Linked DNA regions of Notamacropus eugenii. The protein of the gene in region 1 purifies or fractionates together with the protein of each later gene. This does not show direct contact. Links are inferred from orthologs where the notes say so. Each region holds a gene or a part of one and is shown in the gene's direction. Other genes may lie near its edges.

Evidence for each region.
Region 2: the proteins of ARID4A (region 1) and BRMS1 purify together in Homo sapiens (affinity purification with western blotting; 3 studies listed by BioGRID and IntAct, with this or other methods). This does not show direct contact. The link is inferred for Notamacropus eugenii from reciprocal best matches to the Homo sapiens genes ARID4A and BRMS1.

What each region holds. Positions count from the first base shown.
Region 1 is NC_092872.1:301,126,993-301,135,302, forward strand, and holds the start of ARID4A (AT-rich interactive domain-containing protein 4A), read left to right. Parts: upstream 1-5,080; 5' UTR 5,081-5,344; intron 5,345-6,458; 5' UTR 6,459-6,498; coding exon 6,499-6,504; intron 6,505-8,310.
Region 2 is NC_092873.1:18,947,352-18,955,227, reverse strand, and holds the start of BRMS1 (breast cancer metastasis-suppressor 1), read left to right. Parts: upstream 1-4,625; 5' UTR 4,626-5,059; exon of another isoform or gene 5,060-5,809; intron 5,810-5,985; exon of another isoform or gene 5,986-7,056; intron 7,057-7,751; exon of another isoform or gene 7,752-7,876. Other genes in the region: B4GAT1 (beta-1,4-glucuronyltransferase 1), read left to right, coding at 1,525-3,252, 3,383-3,574. UniProt on the Homo sapiens protein: Transcriptional repressor. Down-regulates transcription activation by NF-kappa-B by promoting the deacetylation of RELA at 'Lys-310'. Promotes HDAC1 binding to promoter regions.

The sequences.
Region 1 (8,310 bases):
CATACCTCAATCTTTCTCCTAAGTTTTTGCCCATTTTATTCCACTAGAATGCTTTCTGCCTTGCCTATCCGAATCCCATTCCTTTCAAGATCAACTTCTGATCCCACTCTCTTTATAAAGCTTTTCCTGCCAAATCCTTTTCCTCCCAATTTCTTCTGACTCCTCTAATGTTATGTGATTATAAAATGTGACAATTAATCACTACCTTGCAATACTGCTTCCATTGTTTTCCTAAATAAATTTTTTTCCTGTTAAATAACAGGAATTTTAAAGCACATTTATGTCCCATCTTTCCAGCTGTATCACAGGCTCTTTAAGGACAGAAACTTTCTTTGTATTATCTAGAATACCTGGGCTAAAGCTTTGCATATTAAAACATCAAAGTATTTTAAATGCTCAAAAATTATCAATCTGCTAAAAATATTATCTACTCACTCCATAATCTGAAACATATTTTTATTTAGGCTTGTTCATAAAGGAAAACTAAGATTTATGAATTCCAGTGATTATGCAATTCAAAAGGGAAAAGTACAGCAATACGGGAGCTTGTACCTGGTTAGAAATTAACCTATTATTTAATTTTCTTTAGAGATAAATGATTCATTGGGAAATTTTTTGGCTGCACTACAGCTGTCAAATCTACTTCTCAACATCATGGAAAAGCTTACTGAAACCATTATACATTTCAGAGAGTACCATTTCTTACCTAACTTTGTTATATGTAGTAGCATTGCCATACAATATTAAAAACTGAAACTTATTTTTTTTGTATCATTCTAAAAATCACCTACCAGAAACATTCCAAGAAACAGTAAGAAAACAGGGTTAAAAGCCTTTGATGACTTTTTCCCTACAAAATATCAGGATAAATCTGAAAGACAAAGAATTAAAAATAGTGATGCTGTCCAGTCTATCTCATAGTGAAGCATAAAATCATTTTACAAGAATCAACTTATTCATAATACTTAGTCTACCTCTCTTAATAGTGTGTGGAGGTTGTGGGGTCAGAAGTCAGCTCAAATACTACCCCTGATGCTTACCATCCGCATGACCTTGCACAAGTCACAGCCTTCCTTAGTCTTCACCTTTAAAATAAGGGGACTGATTCAGATGCCCTCTGATATATTGTCCATTCCTAACCCCATGAGTCTATGAATAACATCATATACTATATCATCAGAATGAGGATGTTTGTATCCTTATACAAATTAAAAATCTGCTTCATCAAGACTCTTCAGGAACTTTAAAAAAAATTATATATAAAAAGGCACTTAAGATTAATCAGGAAATCACTATGATATTCTTCAAAAGATTCTCTAACCCTACATCCTACTAGAAATCAGAATCACTGAGAACTAAACCTGATATTTACACATGAAAAACAGTAATTCTCAAGGTCTTTACATTTGTGAGTGCTCAGGATTAAACAAAAGAGAATGAAACTGATGTATAACATAAGCAGAACCTAATAATTATTCATGTTTTCTCAAAAAAAGATTTTCAAAATTTATTTATACAAATAAAAAGAAAAATTTAACTTCACTGATCAATGCTATTTTTGTTTTTCCCAAATAGCCCCCCAAATGTCACTTCACAAGTGCTCAAAGCTTGCACTGTGTACTCTGAAGAGAGAAGAAATAAAGACAACAAAAGTGGTTGAGGCTATTGGTAGGTGAAAAAAGGAAACCATGTACCACCAGTAAATCCTAATCCTAATTAAACAAGAATATGTCAAGTATCAATAGATTCCCCTAATAGAGGGAAAAGAAATTCTCATTTTACTAAAAAAATTCACAAAAGATTGAAGTCTACGATCTTCTGTCTGCGGACATATCTAATTTATTATATCCCATGACATGCTATATAGCTATCTATGCAGAACCTAATTCCTATGTATGGAACACTTTAAGAATTACAAAATACTTTCCTCACAAAAACACCATGAGTCATAATTATGCCCATTTTACTTATCAAGAAACAGAGCTTCAGAGAGATTAAATAATTTATTTTCCCAACATCTAGCAGTGTCTGACAACTTGGTAGGCACTTAAGTGCTTGAGTAGGATCAAACAGCTAGAAAGTATCAAAGATAACACTAGAATTCAGTCATCTCTAAGATCACTACACCATGGAAATGACAACAATATTTTATACCACTATTTAAAAAAAAACGGATTTAAGACTTCTTTGCTAAATTCTAATGCTAAAAATTTCAATACCACTTATGACATCACAACTGATTTTAGTGGGCAAGACTACAACTTAATAAAAGTATAACTGACGTAGAAGGGTTTCCTGATGGTAAGTACTACATAATACAAGCAATGTGACTGACAGGAATATTTTTAAAATATATGTTTTTGGAACCACAGGCAAAAATGGAGCTTCAGTGTGTTACAATATAAATTTCTGCTTCATGAGAAAAGTTAAAAGACATTTATGTGATCAAATCTTATAATCAACTTAGTACCCAGCACACTGTACATAGGGAGCACAGTTAACAGCTGTTAAATGAATGAACATGAAGGGAAGATAGGGGAGATAGAAGGTTGCAGTTGTAGTTCCCTAATCATGTTTTCCTCAAGCTAATATTAATAGTTTGCTAATTCTCAACATTCGCTGGCTGGGACACAGGGTTCCAGGAGGGAAGGTACAACAAAAAGAAAGGATATCAAAAGCTGAGAAGATTATGGATATTAATCATTTGCATTAATAATTTACAATGCAAAGAAGCTATGCAAAGAAAACAGCTACAAATAGTTGAAAAGAAATAAAACATTTCTGCTCCTGTGATTACAATTTTGCTTTCACTGGAAAAAATTCCTTAGAAGACATATTAAAAAGGATTTCATTTATACTAAAAGATCACATACTATAAAACTCATGTAAAGTCCAAAATGAAAGCTGAACAGTAAAGAGAATTATCATTTCCCCAAAGCACCAAGACTCAAAATCTGTTGTTTGTTGCAGCCTGCCTGTTCTTCCTTCAAATATCTCTCTCCCAGATCCCCTTGTCATTACTTGATCCATGTCTTATGTCTAGAGTACTGCAATAGTTTCCTAATTTGTCATACAGTTGCCAGACTCCAACACCTCTTAAGCATCCTTCTAGATGTCAATGGATTAATCTTTCCTGAAGTGCCATCTTGGGAATGGTACTTTAAAACACTTTTAACACTTTGTTTAAAGTTTTGAACTGAAATTCAAAGGTTCTCTATTATCTGGTTTCTATCCTACCTTTCCAGTTTCACTTCCACTAAACAAAGTCTTAGTCAAACCAGCCTACTTGAAGCTCATTTTAGGCTTATTTTTGCTATACCTTCTGCATCCAATTAATTCTCTATACCCCAAAACAACCTCATCTTTGCCTATTAAATAAAAGCACAACACCCATCCTTCCCCTTCTTTCAACAATACATCACAATCTACCTCAAAAGACTTCTGACTAGGCATGAAAATTCATTTCCTAGGTGTTTTCGCCACCTCCTCCCCTCATTCTCAATATTTTCAGAATTATATAAGGACTCACCTCCGAAACAACGTTGAATGACTTTCTCAAATTCACCCAATCTACAGATCTTTAAGAGCCAAACTGCAAAATAATTGAGAGAAATTTTTTAAAAGCACTTATATCAAAGCACTTACACCTCACTAAATCTGACTCTAAAATAGTTTAAAGTCAACTAGAGATGTTGTGAGAATAAACAATAATGTGAATTCCTTAGAACCCAAAGCTTTTCTAATTTTAGTTAATACAGTTTAGCATATGCCAGTCTCTTTACATTAAAAAGCTACTCAATTAAGGAACAACACACACTTTACCTAGTTCAAACAAGTTTTTTCTAAATAAAATTTAAAATCCAGTTGCTGTGCTCCTCTCCAACCCAATCTCTGACTCATCATTACTTAAGATTTAAAAGTGATTTAAAATACTTTCATTTAAAAGGTCCATTACATAACTGCCGAATCAATCAATGGTCACCGTACCTCTTGGTGAATGATTACTGGAGGACTGTTGGACATACTACATTCCTGTCAAATACAATCTCCACTTAAAAAGAGAATTCTAGTTCGACACAGCAAGACCTTAGGCGAACAACTATCAGGGCAAACTGGGAAGGAGAACTCCTGAATCTTGAGAACCAGGGATTTCCCAGCTTCGAAGCTAGGGTGGAAACGCCCTTTTCTTAGGCAGGGGGCACCTGGCAAGAATAACTCCTTTCAAGTTTAGAGAAGTCAAACCTCGGCCCCTCTGCACGAGAATCAGGGAAGGCAAAGCACAGAGATGGGTGAGGGGTGTGGAGCCCCAGGGTCGAGCACACACCTTCTTTACCCATATAGGAGAAAAAGGGGAAGATCCAGCTCTACGAAGAGGTAGCAAACTCCACCCCCTCTTCTCCGGCGGGAGAGAAGGCCTCAATACTCCCCCCACCCCCATTCGTCCCCCCAGTGAGGAACTTACTCTGCCGCGGCCGCCGCGAGGCCCCCTCACTTCCGGTCTTAGTGCCGCTATTGCTGCGCCATCCCCTCAACCCCCCCCCCACACACACCCTCCCCCGTCAGTTAACCGCAGCCTTCAGTTGACCTTTGTGGATGGATCCCAAATTTATTCAGTCACTCACTGTGCTCTCACCCGGGATGGAAGGTGAAGGTCTAGTCCATGAGAACGAGTCAACCGGGTAAAGTCTCAGCTCCCCTCCTCGACAAGCTTAAAATGGGAAAGAGCCACAGCCACTGCTGCCGAGACAAAATGGCGCCGAGAACAGGATCTAGCGCAGGCGCCTTGTATAGTCCCTGCCCCGCCCCCGGTGCAAGCCCCTCTCCGCAGCTATGAGTTCCGTTTCCATGGGACACCCACTGCCAATCCCCGCTCTGGGTCGCTCTTCCTGACCCCCGAGTTCACCAATCAGTGATCACTCAAGCACATCCGGAGTCATCATCACCAATCATTTGTCAGGATCTACTGACTCAATTCCCAACTCCTCCAATAATGTTTGACTCTTCGGCTAACCAATCATAAGTACGATATTTCCTACCTGCTGCTTTTCTTACCAATCGGTGCACTCAAGGCGTTATATCCAATCGGGGCGGCGGGTAGCGAGCTCCAATGAGGAGCGCGGAAGGGTGCTCCATCGTCATGAGGGGCCAATAGGAGTTCGTGTAGGAGCGAGTCTGCTCAACAGCTTGTTATTTGGTGGATTGTGGCAGTAAATCGGGGCGAGCGGGGGACTGGGCGCAGGAACTGCCGCGGCGGCCAGGAGTGGTGCTGCCCGGACGGGGGCCCGCTAGGGTCAGTGTGCCTGGGGGGATCGAGAGCTGACAGCGCGTACTTAAGCCGCAGTTGGTAGGTAGGGAGAAGAGGAGCGGGGGCTATTGAATGGGCGAAGCGGCAGTAGCAGCTGGTGCTGCTGCCCGGGAGTCCCGGTGCACTTAGAGGTTTGGAGGTGGGGGTGGGGGCGGCAGAGGAGAAGCCTCAGCAGGGGGAACCGCTGCTGCCGATTTTCTTTTTTTCCTCCCTCCTCCCACCCCTTCTCCGGTTCCCGGAGTAAAATGGCTGTGGGGGTGGCCGCCCCGCTAAGTTTGCTCCGGCGGAGTGAGGAGCGGGGCTGCTCCCGGGAGAGGGGTCCCAACTCTGCGGCGCTTCTCCCTCGAGTGGGTTTGCGAGCTCGACCAGAGGGGTCGGGGTGGGGGCTTGGAGGACCGGCGCCTTTCGGAGCGCCACAAAAAAGTTGAGGCGGGTGGAGGGAGGAGGCAGTGGCTGCCACTGTGCGGTTCTCCTCCCCTCCCACACCCTGTCCCGGCTGCCTCCCTTCCTCTTCTCCACCCCCTCACTCCCCCACCCCCTCCTCCTCCTCCTCCTCCTCCTCCTCCTCTTTTCCCCTTTTCTCTTTTTCTCGGGCGGCGGGCGGCTGTTGCCCCTCTGGGACCCGGAGCCTGTTCTCCTGCCTGACATGGTGCAGAGCTGGTGGAGGCAGAGCAATGGCGCCGTGACACACCGCCGCCGCTGCCGCCGCCACCGCGGGCACCGGGGGGAGGGGAGAGAGGGGGGAAGCGGCCGAGAAGCGGGCGGGGGGGGGGGGGGGCAGAGGCGGGAGAGGGCGAGCGGAGGGAGACACGGACCGCCCCGGAGACTGCCCCCCGTAGGAGCCCGAGAAACAGAAACTGCCGCCCTCCGCCAGCACCGGCGGCACTCAGAGGAAGCCCCGACTTCACTTTGCCCGGGTGGAAGTGGGCAGAGGGGCGGAGGCAGGGAAGTCCTCCGAGGGGCGGCATGAAAGCTGGTTTGGGGGCTCCTCCCGCCCCCCCTCTTCCTTGGGCCTCTGCTTTTCCTCCCGGACCTGGGACAGCGAGGGCTGTGCCCCTCCCCGCTGGGGCTTGTTTACTCGGACGGCTTCTCGGGCTCTTGTTGGTTAACTGCACTTCTCTCTTCCTCCCTCACGCATCCTGCCCTGCCGAAGACTTCTCTTTGAGCTGGAACCTCTTAGATCGTCCCCCAAAATGAAGGTAAACGGGATAAGCGTGGCCCTCCCCGCTGGAGAGGGACCGGCCTGCCCCTTTTGGGTCATCCCTGCTCCTCCCCTGCTCTTGAGCTTTCGCTTTTGGGACTTTTGTTCTGAGAATTTTAAAAATATGCATTTATATACATATGTATACATATATTTATGTATATTTAAACTTTATTCCTTTGTCAGTCATTGAGGAGTGTGGGGGGAAATAGCATCTATTGAATGTGTCGGAAGCGATCGATGTGTATGAAGTGCCGTCCTCCTCGACCTCTTCTAAGGCCCTAGAATTCTAACTCTATCGAGGGGATCCGACTCTGAGCTGTTGTTCTTTGGGCGAATATTTTTCTTTAAACACTAATGACAGCGGCCTTTGCAAAACAATAGCTTTTGTCCTATCTTTGAGTTTCGGGGGATTTTGTTTGTGCGTTTCCCCAAAGAGCAAAGAATGTATGTGGAGTTGGAATGGAATGGAGGGAGCCTAGTGGAGAGAGATTTCAATTTTTCTAGGATTTTAGAAATAACATGCATTACACAAATCCATGAGGTTGAATTAAAACAATGCTTAATGCTCAGTCCATATGATAAATGTTATTAAACTCTTTTTAATGGAAAAGATTATTCCAAAATAATTCCAACAAGGAACATTTCAAAGGATGATAGGAAAGAAATGACATTTTATAATGATAGTTTAAAATAGTCCTGATTATACTTCTTTGCCACAAGAAGTTCTAAAATTTTATTAATTTATATGCTTTTAAAATTAGTTAATTTATCAAACTCATGATTGATTTATTGCCTTATTCATTTATTAAACCTCACTTTCCTAAATTCTTAATGCTTGCTGTGATTTTTATCAGGAAGAAAGGTGACAGCAAGCTTTGAAAAATGCTCCAAATATTTCAGAGTTTAAAACTTTAGGAAGGTAAATATAATTTAATAAATGAATAAAGTGACACTTTGAAAGTTTGAATGTTGTTTAAAACAACTAGTTGGAAAAATAAATTATTTTCCTACTTACAGTATACTACAACTGTTTTTAAATGTATGTGCCTATAAATAGCTCTGTGAATAAGTGCTAAGCTTCATATAAGATTTGTGTATAAAAGAGACAACAAAAGCATGTTCACACGAGGATTAGAGTTTATGGTAAAATGAAGTATCTATTTTTTTTTTTTGCCACTTCAGCATGTTGAAATTAGATATTTCCAAAGGAAGCTTCTTTTTTTACACCAGCAATATTAATGCAAAAAATCTTAGTGCTTCAAATGTAAGAGCATTAGTTTTATTTCTCTGTTATCAGCTGTTGTGACTTCCATTTCAACCTCAGTCTTCTGACACAGTACTGATTAAATAATGTTTTCAATTTTAAAATAGGTTGAATGGATACTTATTTATTTGTAGGTGTTACATTGTGTCTATTGTTGTTACAATGAATATTTGGTTAAAGCTCTCTACTGACATGTTTATCGTGGTAATTTAATAGTTTCGACTTAGAGGTAGGGTATCAAAGAAGATTTAAGTGTTTTGAAGCTTTAAAACAATAAAAAGTTATATAGACCATTTCAGGTCTTTAACAATATAACCCTAAGATTAATGTACTATATTCTCCTGAATTCTTAAACTTTTGGCATATGGTAAAGGTTTTTTGACTCTATATCTGGAGAAAAGAAATGGCAGTGCACTCCCTTTTAATATTTTCCACTTAAAAATTACAGGGCATGTTATAATGGGGCATGATTGAAGTTTTGTTAGGGATCATTCTTGTTAGAACACAAGAAATACTGTTTAAAAATGGTTAGATTTA
Region 2 (7,876 bases), on another chromosome or scaffold:
ATTAGCTTTAGAGGGGGTTTTTAGCAGTAGGAAGCATTCTGGATTTGGAATAGGGCGCCCTCTGAATTCTGAGGCGGTTAGACTAAGTGATCATCTCAAACCCTTCAGAGCCTGGAATCAGGAAGACCTGAGTTCAAATACAACCTCCGACACAGTCTAGCTGCGTGACTGAACAACCCATTTGCCTCAGTTTCTTCATCTGTAAAAACAGGGATAATAACAGCACCTAATTGGCAGGGTTATGAGAATCCAACATGAAAATGTCCTCCTTAAGATGCTAATAAATTCTGGCTGTTTCTGTTCTGGTGGTGGTGGCCGGGAGCAATCAGGACTGGGCATTGACTCTGGCTGGCTGTGAGGTCCAATGAATTCATGAGCTTCCCTTTTCTTCCTCAGTTCCTTGGCCATGGGTAGGGAGAGCCCTGGTTTGGCCCTGCCTTCTTGAGGCTGAGTCCCATCCCAAAGATTATCACTGGGTCAGATCTTCCTCTGGGGAGAGGGTCACTCCTCTGGGGCCCAGCTTCAGCTCTTTCCACAGAACAAACACAAGGCACAAAGTTCCCTCGAAGCTTAATCGGTGGGCATGCTTTTACTAAGCACCTACTGTGCGCCAGGGACCGAGGCTGCAGAAATTGAAAGCTGCTCCCAAATATTATCTTCTTCCTAAGGGAGGGACAACGTGTGCACGTGTGTGTTTATACCCGACCTCAACAGGAAGCCCCATGTCCATCTCAGGGCTCTGCCCTCTCGGTGTCCAGCAGTGTTTGCTAAGTCGAAAGCCAATCCCAAACCCAGATCGAGATCTCCCTGCTAATCTTGGGCACTTGGGGCTACGGAGCTTAGGACAGGAAGACCACGAGTTGGACAGAGCCCAACAACCACCACGACTTCCCTCGGAAGGTCCCTCCTTTCTCTGGGATCTGGTCAAACTGGAGCCAAAATGTGGGTGGTCTGAGTCTCTCCTGCGAAGGGGAGGGATGACGGGCATCCGTGCCTTTCTCTGGCTGTTTTCCCCAAAGCTCCTAACACGCGAGAGCCTTCCGAGGGAGCTGAGGAGGAAAATGACTGCGGGGCCAGCGGAAAATTGGAACGACGAGGATGGGATTCGAACCCACGCGTGCAGAGCACAATGGATTAGCAGTCCATCGCCTTAACCACTCGGCCACCTCGTCCCGCCGCAGGCTGATTTCTCCGCGCAGCCCCTTGTTCCTGCGTCCGGCTGCGGAGAGCACCGCGCCAGCCTTTCCCCTCCTCTGCGGGCCGGGCGGGGGATCTCTGATGCCAGGAGAGGCGCGGCACAGGGACCCCTGGGAGGGGCTCGTTTCCTGCTCCATGCTCGCGTTTTCCTTTCAAAGGGTGGCCGCGACTGCCGAGTGACCAGGAAACATCCCTCCCTCCGCAGGCCTCTGTGGATAGCTGTGGGCACGTCCCTCCCCCCACCCCCCGAAAAGATTGCGGGAGTGCAAACTAGAGTGGGAACCTGCAAACCCGGGCGCAGGTGTCAGGGTGTCCTTCCACGGTCACATGTGTTTGCGACTCCAGCTTGGCGCGCCCTGTGCGGCCGAAAAGGGGGCTTGCCGGTGTCGCGTCCCCTTCCTGGCAATTCCTAGGGAGCCACGAGCCTTTGTGCCAGGGAGGACACGCTGCCTGAGGCACTGCCTGGAAGTTGCAAGCGAAGCCTCGAGCGCTTCCTTCCCCCCTTTCTTTTCTGCAAGGGAGGAAGGCACAGGGCAGTTTGCCAGCCCACCCCTAGGCGCCTTGTTCCCCTCCAGAAAGGTTGGGTTTGCCAGCCAGGCCACGGGCCCCTCTCTCTCGTTCCTGTTAGAACCTGGGCATCTCTACCCCCCAACACACACACACACACCGCACATCTGCGTGGGCCACACACAGCTGCGGGGCTCGCCGTGGGGCGCGCGGCTGCAGTGCGTCCTCCCGCTGGGCAGAGGGCGAGAGTGCGCTCCGCGGCGGCCCCCCAGTGCCCGGCTGGCCACAGTCTCAGTAGCAGGGATAGCGGCGGCGGCGGCGGCAGCTGCATCCGCGGTGCGCTCGCTCGCCCGGCTTGGCCTCCCTCCTCCGCTCCTCGCCTCCTCCCCAGCCTCCTGCCCCGGGAGGCCTGGGCGGCACGCGATGCCCAACCCGCTGGCAGTGGCGGCGGCGGCGGCGGGCGGCGGGCACGCGGCGGGCCGCTGCTCGGCCTACAAGCTGGCACTGGCGGCGCTGCTGGCAGTGGCGCTGCTGCAATTCGTCTACCTGTCGCTGCTGGCCGGGCTGCACGGGCGCGAGCAGCGGCGCCGCTACGGGCAGCTGTTCCCCGGCGGGGCGGCCCTGGGTGCCAGTCTGCAGCGCCGCGCGGCCGAGAGCGCCAAGGAGCAGCTGCGGGCCGTGCTGGCCGCCGGCGGCGCCCTGGACGCCAGCGGGGACTACCGCGTGTACCGGCACGTTCTAGGGGACCCCTCGCGCCGCCCGCGCGACGCCCTGCTGCTCGCCACCCACGCCAGCCTCAGCAACCTGGGCCACGTGGGCACGCTGCTGGAGCGCTGGGCCGGGCCCTTGGCAGTGGCCGTGTTCGCTGCGAGGCCAGACGAGGCGCAGCTGGCCACGGTGCTGACCTACGCGCTGGGCGCTCTCTGCACGCAGGCCGTGCGCGACCGCCTCACCATGCACCTGGTGTGCCCTGCGCGCACCGAGGCCGCAGTGCCTGACCCGCGGGAGCCGGGCGAATTCGCACGCCTCAGCAGCTGCACAGATGTGTTCACCAGCATGGGCGCCCGGAGCCGCTCAGGTCGCAACTACGCGCTGGCCACCAACGTCTCCTACCCCAACAACCTCCTTCGAAACGTGGCCCGGGAGGGCGCCGGCCATGCCCTCGTCGTGGACGTGGACATGGTGCCCAGCGATGGGCTTTGGACCGGCCTGCTGGAGCTGCTGGCCCTGGGCGAGGGCAGGGCAGGCCGGGCACTGGTGGTTCCGGCCTTCGAGATCCGCCAGGGGGTTCGGGTCCCCCGCACCAAAATCGAGCTGATGCGCTTCCTTAAGATGGGGCACGTTCGCCCATTCTATGCTGAACTGTGCCCTCGATGCCACGCCCCCACCAACTACTCTCGATGGCTCACCTTGCCCCCAGGGGGACCCCTGCGACCTGCCTACCGCGTGACCTGGCAGGACCCCTGGGAGCCCTTCTATGTGGCCGGAGGCGCAGTGCCCTCCTACGATGAGAGGTTTCGGCAGTATGGCTTCAACCGCATCAGCCAGGTGCCGGTCGCTCTCTCCCTGGGGTGGGAGGGAAGGGGCTGACAAAAGGTGTCTGGTAAGAGCTGATGGGGGTGGCAGGAGGATAACCAGGGCCAGTTTGACCGTTTCCTCTCCCCCTCTTCCCTCCCAGGCCTGTGAGCTCCACGTAGCAGGGTATGAGTTTGAGGTGCTGAATGATGCTTTCCTGGTCCACAAGGGCTTCAAGATGCCAGGGGACTTCCACCCCCAGAAGGAGGCAGAGAATCAACGGAATAAAATCCTCTTCCGCCAGTTCAAACAGGAGTTGAAGATGAAGTACCCAGACTCTCCCAGGAGATGCTGATCTGCCGACCCACCTAGAGAGCAGCCTCCAAAGGCAGGGCTGGGGCCTTTGGCTCTTCAGGTTTCCCCCTCAAGCCTGTGGGAGGCAAGAGGGGCTAACCCAGTCCTTCACCCTGGGGGTGGGCCTTTTTTAGGTGGGTGATGAGCACTGATGTGACAAAGCCAAGAGGTAAGATTTTTTGGGGAGTGGGGGACAAGAAGGGATTTGGAAAGGGAGTGGGGACTTTGGGAGAAGAAATAAGCTTCATTCAATTCAGGAAGCTTGAATTGTGGTTCAGAGATAGCTGCCAAAAGTCTTCATTCTTCTCATTTTACATATCCCTAGGTCCCTGCCCTTTATCTCACCACTTATCTTGGGCCACTCTCCTCCCCTCTCTGGGCCTCAGTTTCCCCATCAGTAGAATGAGAGAGTTGGACCAGATGACCAAGGTCCCTTTCACCTCTGAATCTGATGATTTAAGGGGAAGAAGGAGGTTGAGAGTCCTGGACGCCAGCCCCAACATTGCCTCGGACTTGTTGTGTGACCCTTCAGCAAATCCCTTCCTCTCCGAGTCTGTTTACATGTCTGTAAAAAGAGAGAGCTGGAATAGGAGACTTGTTCCAGCTCTAAGATTTGGCATCTGTGACTGGCACGGCCCTGGGAATCAGGCTGGGTGGGGAAAGAACCCCCTTGGTGAGAGGAAACCCCCATCCCAAATAGGTACAGAGCCAGGAATTTTGACTTGGATGACAATATGCCAATAAAGCAGTGTTCAAGTGCACCAGTGTCTCGGTGTTGTTCCCTTCCAGCGTCATCGTGAACGTTGGAAGTCATGACAGACCCAAGGTCTGAGCAAACCACTCTGGAGCCTCAGTTTCCTCATCTGTTAAACGGCAGTAACAATTGTGTGTGTAGTATTTTCTCTCCCCGGGTGGTTGTAAGACCCAAAGGAAAGACTGGCTTTACAAGCTGCAGTACAAGCTCTAAAGTCCTATGTAACTGTAGGTATGTTTCTTTATTACGTCCCTTTCCCGGGAACCTCAGTTTCCCCCTCTGTACAAAGCCAGTAGTAGCCTTAGGGGGCGATGGGAGTGGCTGCTGCTCTAGCCATTTGCCCCGAGCGCGGGGGGCGGGGCGGTCAGGCCTGGACGGGCCCTGGGGCTGCATTCCCGGAGCGCACGCCGGAAGAGGAAAATTCCCACGGTCCTGCACCGCCGCAAGTTAACAGGCCGCAGGAGCGTTCCCGGTTGTTATGGAAACGCGGGGCGCCGACGGCGTCCCAGAGTCCCTCGCGGCTCGGCGCTCCTTGATGACGTAGAACAGCGGTTCCCGCTCGCTCCTCGGAGGGCGGGTCCCGGCGTGTTCGGCCCCTCCCCGGTGGGTGGGGCCCTGGGCGAGACTTCCGGGACACTGCCCGCAGCCGGCCGCGTCTGTCTCGTCCCCTCCCCTCCCCCCGACCCAGGACCTCCCGGAGCGGCCGCCTGGATCTTGGACCCCCCGCGAAAGGTTCGTCCCGGCCGCGCCCCCCTCCCTCCCCGCGGCGCGAGCGGTGGTAGCGTCCGCCGGGGAGGGTTCCATAGGCCCGGACCGGACCATTGCTCCGGGCGGGGGGAGGGTGGTCAGGAGCCCCGCGGCACCCGGCGCCAGGGGAGCCCCTGGGCCTCTCTGAGCCTCAGTTGCCTTCTCTGTAAAATGGCCCTCCCCGGCTGCCCCTGGGGCTGCCGCCCAACGTAGGCTTCATGCTGGGGACACCCCGGCCGGCCCTGCCCTGGGGCTCACCGTCTGCTGACCCCCGGAGGCTAAAAGCGGAGGGGGCCCCTCCGGGAATGGAGACTTGCGATACACCCCGAAATCAGAGAGGTGTCTGTGGGGGTGGGGTGCCCCCCGCCGTGGCCACGTCCGAGCGGAGGCCGGGCTGCCCACAGGCCGGAGTGCCTGGAGAATTGGGGCAGGTTTCAGCCAAGTGCGTCGCGCGTGGATGCTTGGAGAGAGAGGACCATTCGGTCCGAAGCTGCCCATGACCAGGAGCGGCTCCGTGCACTGGGCAGGGGTGCCCAGGGGGCACCGGGGACCTGCGCGTGGCCCCAGGCCCCTTCCCTCGGATCAATGACTGGCCGAATGGTGCCGTGTGTGCAGGATGTTTGGCCGCAGGGATGCCACCGTAGAGGCTGCCAGAGCCAGGATCCAGCCTGGGCTAATTTAGTAAGATACCTAGGTAGGGACGATGGGCAGCGGTTGTGAGAAAGATCCGGGGGTCTGGAGGAGATCGAAGGACCCAGGATGAGTCAGCAGCCCCCCAGGTGGAGGGGACCCACCCCTCTGTGTTCTCTCCCAGTCACCAGACCTCAGGCACACCTCCTCCTCCTCCTCCTCCCCCTCCTCCTCCACCTCCTCCTCAGCAGTATGGTACTCAGTTCTGGGGGTCTGCTTACTATTTATGAAGGATAAAGAAGCTGCGGAGTGTCCTGAGGTGGGCAGCCAGGATGGTCAAGGTCCCTGGGTCCAAAATGTAGCTGGTGGAAAATAGGGAGAAAAGCCTTCCCCTGCCCCCTCCAGTCCAAGGCCCAGTCTGGGCACAGGGGCCTGAGGCACTGTGAGGACCAGGCAGATTCTGTCTTGCAGCAGGAATGAGACTGTGGAAGGAGCAGGACCCGGGTTTGGGCAGGGTTAGCCTAGTTCTCGTTCCCATTCTTCTCTGTAGGGTACAGATAATAATAGCACCCACCCCCCACAGGTGTGGTGTGGACCAAATGAACTAATCTAATTAGAGGTGGCCCCCGTGGGTCAGGGACTAGGCCTGGAGTCAGGAAGACCTGATCCAGCCTCAGACACTTACTTGCTGTGTGTGATGTGACCCTGGGGAACTCACTTAATTTTTGTCTGCCTCAGTTTCCTGAGCTGGAAATGGAAATAATCGCTCCTACATCCCAAGGTTGTTGTGAACACTGTAAAGGATTTGCGCTGTCCCCAGCACCCAGTCGGTGGTTCTTTTTTTCCAGCGCTCTGGCAATGTTATTTGTTATTAACCTTTAAGGGCACCGGAAGAGCTAATTTAGGGTCTAAAAAGGTCTTCTGTGGAAAGCAGCTTCCTGTAACTCATCTGCATGGAATTTCCTTGGGTCGTGTGGGCCCCTGGGAATCTGGGCTCTAACTGCTTAGATGGGGGAGCCTGGGGGGAGAGGTGGGCAGTTCGTAGATTTCCCTTTCAGAGAAGGACAGCTGGACCCCTTTGGACTTAGACATTTCTGGTGAGGGCCTGGGACTCTTTAAATGGGGTCTCACTTTAGAGTCCAGCTTGATTTTGCCTTCCTTGGTCTGTGGTGTGGCTCAGCCAGAGGCTGGGAAGGTAAAGATTTGATTGTTTTGGGCTGGGCTCACCTTCTCCCAGGACAGACTGGAGGCTGAGAGCCAGGGTCATCGTCCCCCAGCCTGGATCCCCTGGCAGGAGCCTCAGCTCCAGGCTGGTTTTTTCCTCCCTGCCCTGTCACCACCTGGTGCACCACCTGGAGGGTGGGATAGAGATTTCTTTGTTTGACCTTCATGCCTCCCGACTCATCTTTACCCCTTGAACTCCCTCTCTCCTCTCTGCCTTTGCCATTGATGGCTTGCCCCCCACCCCCACATCTCTTACCTTCCCTGGTTCTCTGGTGTCTCAGACACCCCTCCCCCTCACCTGTACATGAGTACACATTATGTACACTTGAATGGGAGCTCCCTGAGGGTAACCCTAGATGGGGAAACTGAGACCCACCAGAGGTGACTTGATTAGCCCAAGGTAAAAAGGACATAGATTTCAACTCAGAAGGGAGTTTAGTCCAATCCTCATTTTACAGAAAAGGAAACAGACAAAGAGGGGCAGTGACTTGTCTGAGTGTCTGAGACAGGATTTGAGCCCAGTTTTTCCAGATCCCAAGTCCAGCCTTCTGTCCAGTACTCCCTGCAATCCCTGTGAAATGGCAAAGCCAGGCTTTGAAGCCAAGCCTTCAGACCCCATGTCTAATTGGGGCACCCTGGAAAGTGCTGGACACGGCCCCCAGAGAACCTAGTCCTGTGTCCTCTTATGAAGATTGAGGAAACTGAGAGCCCTACCCACCCACCACCCACCACCCAACCCCCAGGGCAAGTGACTCCCTGGCTACTTTGCCTTAGCAATGATACCCACAATCATGAAGGTTTCCTTCTGCCCTTTGGCCCTTACCTGCCATGTGACCCTGAGCAAGGCCCTGGCACTCTCTGAGGTGCCAGCATCATGTTGTGCCCACCGCAGGTTCATTCCTGGCTTCAGAGTTGGGAGGAGTGGAAACTTGGGACTAGAAGAGACCT